2 linked regions of the Neodiprion lecontei genome follow. Each later gene encodes a partner of the first gene's protein in a complex. Links are inferred from orthologs where the notes say so. Each region holds a gene or a part of one and is shown on either strand. Other genes may lie near its edges.

What was found.
Region 2: 26S proteasome regulatory subunit 6A-B (region 1) and proteasomal ubiquitin receptor ADRM1 homolog share a complex: the UniProt entries of both Caenorhabditis elegans proteins name them as parts of the 19S proteasome regulatory particle complex. The link is inferred for Neodiprion lecontei from reciprocal best matches to the Caenorhabditis elegans genes rpt-5 and rpn-13.

Annotation. Positions count from the first base shown.
Region 1 is NC_060266.1:23,076,513-23,080,871, reverse strand, and holds 26S proteasome regulatory subunit 6A-B, read right to left. Parts: upstream 2,467-4,359; 5' UTR 2,293-2,466; coding exon 2,251-2,292; intron 2,046-2,250; coding exon 912-2,045; intron 828-911; coding exon 717-827; 3' UTR 533-716; downstream 1-532. Other genes in the region: RNA-binding protein 8A, read left to right, coding at 1-246, 346-376. UniProt on the Caenorhabditis elegans protein: Component of the 26S proteasome, a multiprotein complex involved in the ATP-dependent degradation of ubiquitinated proteins.
Region 2 is NC_060264.1:19,749,610-19,754,598, reverse strand, and holds the start of proteasomal ubiquitin receptor ADRM1 homolog, read left to right. Parts: upstream 1-1,884; 5' UTR 1,885-2,070; coding exon 2,071-2,271; intron 2,272-3,701; coding exon 3,702-3,818; intron 3,819-4,204; coding exon 4,205-4,553; intron 4,554-4,989. UniProt on the Caenorhabditis elegans protein: May function as a proteasomal ubiquitin receptor. May promote the deubiquitinating activity associated with the 26S proteasome.

The sequences.
Region 1 (4,359 bases):
ACTCTTCATAAACTCTGTTCACGAAGAAGCTCAAGAGGACGATATACAGGATAAGTTCTCAGAGTTTGGTCAAATAAAAAATCTACATTTGAATTTGGATCGGAGGACTGGATTTCTCAAGGGATACGCGTTGGTTGAGTACGAAACATTTAAGGAGGCTCAAGCGGCAAAAGATGCTCTGAACGGTGCCGAAATCTTGGGTCAGCCAATAACTGTCGATTGGTGTTTCGTCAAAGGACCAAAAAAGTGAGAAACAAAAATAGTATACATATATTTTTCGTAATCTATTGACCAGGCACCGTCAAAATGGTCGATCCGCATTTAAATCTGTGGAATTAATTTCAGGATTAAGAAGAGGAGTCACAGAAGGCGATAAACCGAGGAAGAGTTATTCTACTTTCGATTAATAATAAAGCACGATAATTTTGTTTTCTTATCTTGTATCAAGTAAGGTGTAAAACACGAAACCGAAGCCTGAATGATTTTGTATTTTAACTGATATTATAAAATAAAAATAAAAATTCCACAACCGTAAATACGTAAAGAGTTTTATTCAGCAAGTTTTATACACGTTTTATGTATTGGATGCGGATTTATTTGCGGGTTTTTACAATCTATTAAAAATCGTGATGAAAAAAATTGTTAGGCTCACAATTGGCTCATAAGCCTAATTTTAAAAAAAAAAAAAAGATCAAAACACGCCAAATTTGGGATATCTATGAATAGTAGTTAAGGTTCGCCTTCTTTTTGGCCTGTACTTCCATGATAGCTTCCATCAAATCTTCGTGTGTGACGGCAGTTGCATTGCGTCTGAGAGCGATCATACCCTGTAAATGACACAAAGAGATAATAAATCACGAGTTAATGCGCAATCGAGAATGGAGTATAAATTTGTTAAAACGAAGACTTACTGCCTCAACGCAGACAGCCTTGCACTGAGCCCCGTTAAAGTCATCAGTAGACCTGGAAAGTTCTTCAAAATTAACATCTGGTGACATGTTCATTTTCCGTGAATGTATCTGCATGATTCGAGCTCTAGCCTCTTCGTTGGGGTGGGGGAATTCTATTTTTCTATCTAAACGCCCGGATCTGAGCAACGCAGGATCAAGTATATCGACCCTGTTAGTGGCAGCAATAACTTTAATATCGGCATTGGAGCTGAAGCCATCCAATTGATTAAGGAGCTCCAGCATAGTTCTCTGGACTTCTCTGTCTCCAGCCTTTTCAGAGTCGAATCTTTTCGTGCCAATGGCGTCGAGTTCGTCGATGAATATAATTGCTGGCGCCTTCTCTTTGGCCAGTGAAAATGCGTCTCGTACAAGCTTCGCACCGTCCCCAATGAACATCTGAACCAGCTGCGGTCCAGCCAGTTTGAGGAAGGTGGATTTGGTCTGTGCAGCACAGGCTCGAGCAAGAAGCGTCTTTCCTGTTCCAGGTGGCCCATAAAGAAGCACTCCTTTGGGTGGCTGGATTCCCAAATTTTCGAACTTCTCTTTGTGAGTCATGGGCAGGACAACGGCTTCTATAAGCTCCTGGATCTGCTTGTCCAGACCTCCGATGTCAGAGTATTGTTCGGTTGGCCGTTCGTCAACCTCCATCGCTTTTACTCTGGCATCATACTCGGCGGGTAGAGTTTCCAGGACGAGGTAGCTGTCTTTGTTAACGCCGACCAGGTCACCGGGCTTGAGTGACTCGGCGTCGACCAGTCCTATCACAGGCAGAAAGTATGTTTGACGAGTTGAAGTTTTTATCACCGCGCATTTTCCCTTCCTCTGCGCATCTAGGTCCACAACTGCTCCGTCCTCCTCGCCCATGTCCTGGGGATCCACGTCCAGTAATTCTATGACGTTCGATACAAGGTACGGCAGTGTTTTGTTAACTTTTATCTTCTCTGTGTTTTCCTTTATCTTCTCGTTCTGCGCCTGGAGCTCGTGCGATATTCTCATCACGTCGCTTTTCATTATTTTTATCTCGTTGTCCAGGAGACGGGAACGAGAAACTATCTCGTCCGTGGACATACGCAGAACATCTTCGCCCAGCGTTTCCTTTTTGAGAATGAGAGTGATATTAAATTTGGTGATGTTATTCGGTTATGGGAGCCACTAGTAGCTATGTGATGTCAAGAATTTAACAAAAATTTAGCACATGATAGATTTTCGCTTTCCAAGGGTAAAGCGAGCCGGAATTGTCGTGTCATTCGGGTCAACATAACCCTTAAAAATTTTACACTTCGACGGAAAATCGACTCACCTCTCCATCCTCCCAAATAGATTTATCCTCCAAGGTAGCCATTTGGATTCTCAACTTGGTACTCGATTCGACGCTGTTATTTTACACGAGGAATAACCGTTTCTTTATTTCACTAACGCCGTGGAAAGGCGATAGTTTGTTACGATTTTTTTTCAATTAACAGATTGGTTCGATGATTATTGCCGAAGCGGAGTGACGTTCCACGAACTCATTCAATCCAGTAGCGACGTAGAGCGAGGACTCGTGTTCAAAACAATCCATAGGCGGCGCCGCTGTAGAAAGAGACAGAACGCAAACACGGCCAAACCCCGTCTAGATGGACTCACGGCGTCACTCGCTTTCGAGCGGCCGGAGTAGAAGGAGCAGAAGCATTGTGTTCGCCGACGGTCCAGAATTCATATTATTAAATCGCGTTATTCAGATTGATGTGTCGTGTCGTTCAATTAGTGTACCTCCACCAATAGTGAATAATGCAGGAATAGCAGCGTGTGATGCACAGAAAAAACGACGTTTCGAAGAGAGACCAGGCTGAGAACATTTAAGGTGAGTTTCATACTTTCAATTGTTTTGCGAGTTTGAAGAATTCGATACATTACGACGTAGAAAACAATTGAATTGGGTGATGCGAACGGTTGATAAAATAATCGTACTGAAGTTAGTAACGTTATCGTAACGGTTTATACTGAGGGAAAATTGTTGTTTTGCGACTTTGGAATTGCTCAAAATTCAGTGAAACGTAATAGTACGTATGACATACATAGGCTCATATTCTGAAATCTTAATTCCTTCAAAGTCATTGTAAAATTGAGAAAATAGGTATGTTTTCGCCATTGTTTCGTTACGATAACGCCACTCAGCTCAATCTCGTATAAAACGAAATTTACGAATTGGCGTATGCTCAGTTCGAGTCCGCGTATCAGATTTTGAAACGCAATTCGCGTTTGTCGCATGGATACACGTCTGTGAAGTGGAATTGTAACGCATTTACAACCCCTTGGTTCGCTGCAGCGTCGTTTCTCAAACATTCGATAAAATTGATTCCAACGTTGGCGGACAAGACGAGTTTGATTCGGTCGAGCTTAAGGATAAGATGTGTTTACGCGTCGTGTTGATACTGTTCCAAAACAAAAGTCGACTTTTGTTTACTACTGCACCGTGTTTCTCCGAATTACTGCCTTGGGGGTCGATGCTGTAATCCTTTATTGTAGTAATGTGCATACATCAAAAGTTCGTCTATGATGGCGTTGTTTATTTTCAAATTTCGAGTGCTAATTGATCTTGCCAATATCTTGGGTCTAGTTTTAGAATTGTACCGTATATCTAACAATCACGAAGCGATCGGACAACGCAAGAATCTGTAAATCTTTAATGGTTATTTATTCCGAATTGTATACTTTTTAAAAATTGTAGTAAATCTTGAATACTGCGTACATCAAATTTGAAGTTGCATTACTAACCAAATATTACGGTATCTTTTTGATTACAGAAATGAACCGTAACAACGTTGATCGACGCTAATGATTATCTGAATTGACAGAGACTGCCAATGGTTGCTGGAAACATCATGCCATAGCTGAAGAGATCAATTTATCACGAAAAATAACAGGTACGAAATATTTGAGATCATTTTCAAAATTTGTCGCAATATATCATCTAAAATCGTGCATGTATGAATATTACGTATACGAATTATGAAAATGAAACGTTAACAAAATGTTGCGTCTTTCACCTAATTACAGAAATGAACAGCGGCTAAATTTCTGGAACTCTGCGAATGTCTGAGTAAAGTCACCCTAGCAACTGATAGTGAAAAATAGAATACCGAAGCTGAACGGGTCGTAATGCTATGGAAAAAGAGAAACAGGTACACGTTCGAAACCATTCTTGATCATACTGTCACGCTTCCTTTACTTAGAAAAATTTATCTTTCAATTCAAATTTATTTCTGTTTAGTTCGTGATTATATTTTATGAAAACAATTGTGAATTTTGATGTATTAAACAAGTTGCAGGTATTGTATTGACCCATAGAATACTAATGGAATGTTATGTATTATCTGATTACAGGGATAATCTACATGGCAGCAATATTGACCGCATTTGTGTAAAC
Region 2 (4,989 bases), on another chromosome or scaffold:
AAATGATCAAAGCTTTGAGATCCCCAGTATTCAACCACACGGTACAGTATACCGTACGGTATCAAACGATATGCCAATTTCATGTATATACATAATACGTTACCATAAATTGTATGAAAATAAAATGGCATACTGATTAAAATCATGGAATGTTGTTCCACAACTGTACCAAATTTTTGCAATGTTTTCCGATGAATTTTTATTTCGAATTTCATTACGAAACACATGGCCGCATGATTAAAATTGTATCATAACAATTGCTTCTCTGTCCTGCCTTCGAAGATGACTTCCGTTCATAGGAAGATGAAATTAACGACTCGCGTCCCGCAAAACTACCACACAAAGCCCTACGTCTTTCATGCACTTGATATAAAAACTATCGTTAGTTGTTCTCAAAATTTCGCGGCCTCAAGAATCTACACACTATCAAAGCTGTAGGGTCAAGGTTAAGACCAAATTATCAGTTTTTCAAAAATCGAGAAGGCGCAAGAGGCTTGCAATGCAGTACGGCGAAATCGCATCCATGAAAATAGTACCACCTTCCATTTATAAATGAAATCATGGGCAAATCACTTGGTGAAAATAAAAACGAAACGTACTATAGTTAATAGCATGTTCAACATGGTTTCTCGTCGAATAGAGCGAGATATTTTCGAATTTAGTTCAGTGATTTAGTCTCGGTGTAAATACGTAAAGGTCTAATCGTAAGCGTCATTTGTTTATCTTTAAAAAAAACACACTCGCAGGCACACCGCCTGAAATGAAACTTAGGGTGAATTTTGAACTGTTCATTTGAAGATCACTTACCAAGGCCAGCACCACGGATCGAGTTCATTAAGAAAAAGTATTAAATTCAGCAGAAATTTGCACAAATTCATGACGCAAATGCGACTCGATTATGTATGTACGTTCGAACTCTACGGCGTCAGACGTCCCAGAATTCCCTGATTGTGAGTGTCCCGAAAGTAGCGCCGCAGCAGCGCCGCTTGAGGTAAGTTTTCAGAACTGATTATGGAGCACGGAGCATGTCGGTAGCGTATCGATACCGTCATAGCGTGTATCAGTGGTGTAATCGTTTCGAACTGGAGGTAGGCTACCCATTTCATCAACCTCGCGAAATATCGAAAACTGCAGCCAAAGTGATGAGATATATATATACATATATATATATATTCTGGTTGCTTCGCTCTGTCACTCAATCAGGTGTATAGCGAGACAAATTATAACCGACACATACCTTTCACTCTCACTTCTCCGCTATACTTTCTGTACACGCGAAGCTACCACCAGTAGTATATGCTCTTAGTATAATCCACTGTCAATAAATATAGTAAATATAGAGCGCTCGCCCACATTATATCACTCACTCGAAAGTTAGTTTCAAAAATCTAATTCGTGTCTCTTTGATGTTACTAAAGGTGCGTTCCGAAATTGGTTCTCATTGTCGTCAGTACTGTCAATGATCTTTTATTTCTTTTGCGGTTTCGAGTTCGTGTGTAGCTCTGCCTCTGTCCTGGGCAGTTTTTAGCGCCACCAGCTATTTTCAGAACGTTGGAATTTTATGAACAGCAAAACATAGCAGCAATAGCACTAATTCTCTGAAAGATCCTAGCACTTCTGGCAAAAGTTTTTCTCCTTGAAGTCCATTTATACTCTTTGTCCGTAGTAGCAAACGCAAGACATTTTAAGAGCAGCGCTGCTGCTGCATCAAATCACTAGACAGATGTTAGTAACATCTAGTAGGTTACTAAACTGCTGCTGCCTTTTGCTGCCCATGAAATCCCATTTTATAGTGGGGGACATGAAAAACACGTGAAAAACACGAGACTTCTCCGTGCGACGATGCAGCCCGTAAATTCCCTACAACAGTCCACCGAAGGAACCAGACTGCGCATCCTTTCTGAGATATGGCAGGCTTGATTAATCAGTGCAGCCACAACAAAATGCATTGTCATCGAGTTTATCTTTGCGTATAGTGTCGTGCTGTTGCCCGTAGAATCCAGATACGCTAGACCAGTGGCTTTATTGTAATTTATCATAAATCCAAGTGGTAAAAACGTGATAATAAGCATGTCGAGCGGTGCCCTATTCGGTAGCAACGCGACACGCGGCGCGAGCAAAAATCTGGTAGAATTTAAAGCCGGCAAAATGACCGTCAAGGGCAAAATGGTTTATCCAGACACTCGCAAGGGTCTTCTCTACGTCTTTCAGTCAGACGATTCCCTGATGCATTTTTGCTGGAAGGACAGAACCTCCGGAGTCGTCGAGGACGTGAGTATATAACGAGGTTGAATTCAATAACGTTGACCTGACGACACACCGATAATAAACATCACCAATTTAGAATTTCAGACAATGACTCTGAGAAAAGTTCTTCCAGTTTTCAGAATGTCAGATATGGTTCTCCTTATTATGGTGTATTGAGTTTTAGACCATCCTATAATTGAGAAATACTCAACGATTAATTCCCTCAAAATCCATCGTCACGTCATGCTGCGAATTTCAAACTCGTTAGTATCAATCCCAACATCATCAGACTTCAAATTGTATTCTTTCGATACTTATTGCTCGATATTGGAAGTCGGTCTTGCACTTGCTCATATACTGACAACCTCAACTGCCACGAATCACTTGTATGCCTGGACATCGGGTTTGTTTTTCAAGGCAGATCTTTTATTAACCTGTTGACGGCAGGGCCGGTCGATGTATCAACCAGTAGTCACGTTGGGGACTTCTAATAAGAAATTCATTAAACTTATTAACTAATTTTGCATCGAAGAAAAGGTTGATTGGAACTCATATTTCCATACCGTTAAAAGGTTAATTGGCTACTAAATATTAATCAGTTGGATGCTTCATTCTGTCATTTTCTTCTTCATCCCTGGCTTACGAAGCGCAGCGATTTTCTCAGAGCTGACATAACCCTTTTTAAGTGCTGATCAATTTTCATAGATCTGTTTTACACAATGATTTCCTAAAAGGTCTTTTTAACTTATGCTCATAGCAAGCTTTGTTTTAGCTATGATTTATCGATCGATTTGCTGCACTCTTCAAACTGTTACACAAATTCCCAGTCATTTCAAATTATTGTGACAATTTCAAGTTTTCATTTAATATTTTATAATACAAATTGCGCACTGCGCAACGCAACAAATAATTTGCACCAGGTGAGTATTTAATTCTAAATAAATGAATATTTTTGTTAGCTTTTTTATCATTGTCGTTCCGCTTTTCTGCACCAATTCAGAAGTTTATTTAATTGACATGAATATGAATAATTCAACAAGCAGATGAATATTTACTAGATTGTGTAATTGCGGTGTTGTAAATACAAATTAAAATGTGGAGGAAAATAATGTCTATACTTTTTCATATTTGATAAATATAGTTGCATAGGTATATTTAGATCTGTACATAATGGATGATGTTAGACATTGCCAAATGTGCTCTCTCAGCATGACAACAACTTTTGATATTATTATTGCCTAGTTTTCTTTCATCATTTTTATTATTTTCCTTTTATAATGCAACATTTTATTCAACTCTAGAAACATTTAGTCAGACATTCCCTTTCAAAAACAAGATCTAAATACAAAATGTGAGAAAAAAGTATCTATAATATATCGAAATATATGTCTAGAAATTTATACCTTGTTTGGATGCGTCGTCTCAAATTTGTTATGTTTTTCACTTTTTTTTAGGACTTGATCATCTTTCCAGATGACTGCGAGTTCAAACATGTACCCCAGTGCAAGACAGGCAGAGTGTATCATCTTCGCTTCAAATCGTCCAGCAGGAAATTCCTTTTCTGGCTCCAGGTTAATAGAAATATGCAGAGATTTCATTAACCTCTTCGATTATAACAAACGTTTTTCATTAGAAATTTACACCGAAAAACTAATTGATAATTGATTCATCGATTCGCAAACACCGAGAAAAAATACTTCACACATTCCAATAATGTTGAACACCTGTTTAACAACCTTTACTTGACATTTGTGTGATTGTGAGATTTTTTCAATCATTGTCCAATTTATATTAATCTTCTGTGATTCATTGAGTCGATACTTTAAGTGAAACATTCTTTTCGTTGGATTTTCACGGACCATGAATCTGAAAAATAATACTGCGAGTTGTGAAAAAAATTATTAAGCTGCCCTTGTTAAATTTTATTGTATAATCTTATTCTCCTTATCATATAAAGGATCTTAAAACGGACAAGGACGAAGAATATTCAAGAAAGATCAACGAGGTACTGAACAATCCTCCAACGCCGCCGACACCACGTATCGGAGGAGGAACTCCGGATGGAGATCTTCAAAACCTGTTGAACAACATGTCTCAGCAGCAGTTGATGCAACTTTTTGGAGGTGTCGGGCAAATTGGGGGACTGAGCAGCCTTCTTGGTACGATGACCAGGCCATCGACCGGTCAGAGTAGCACCAGAGCTTCAACGAATTCGTCTTCCACTCCCATGACGACAAGCGCGACGCGACCTCCAGCTGCTCAAACACCTGCACCTGCTGCAATCACAGAAACTCCGAGACCGTCGAGTGAGAAATGTTTAGCCTTTTAAGAGGGCTTGAGTTTTTGGAAAGGCGAAAATATTTTTTACGTTTTAAAGCAGAGAAATGAAAAATAATTAGGTCGTTTTTTATGCGATTGAAATTTGCAACGTTAATGTAACAAAGCATTTTTAGGAAATAAAATTATTGTTGTTACGCAATCTTGGGATTATCTGAAATTGATTAAATCACACAGAAGTAAACATACCAAGTTTGTAGTTTGAAAACTCAAACTTCTTCAAAGCCATATAAATATTGCCAAATGGTAATTTTTGTTTCAGTGTTTCGTCATATTAACGTTACTAACTTCATTCTCGTTATATTTTTATTCTTCGTTAGGTTTTATTCTTCGATTGATCAGAATTCAAAGCAAATACAACTGATTGAAAACTAATCAAATATATTATCTACACATCGCAAAATG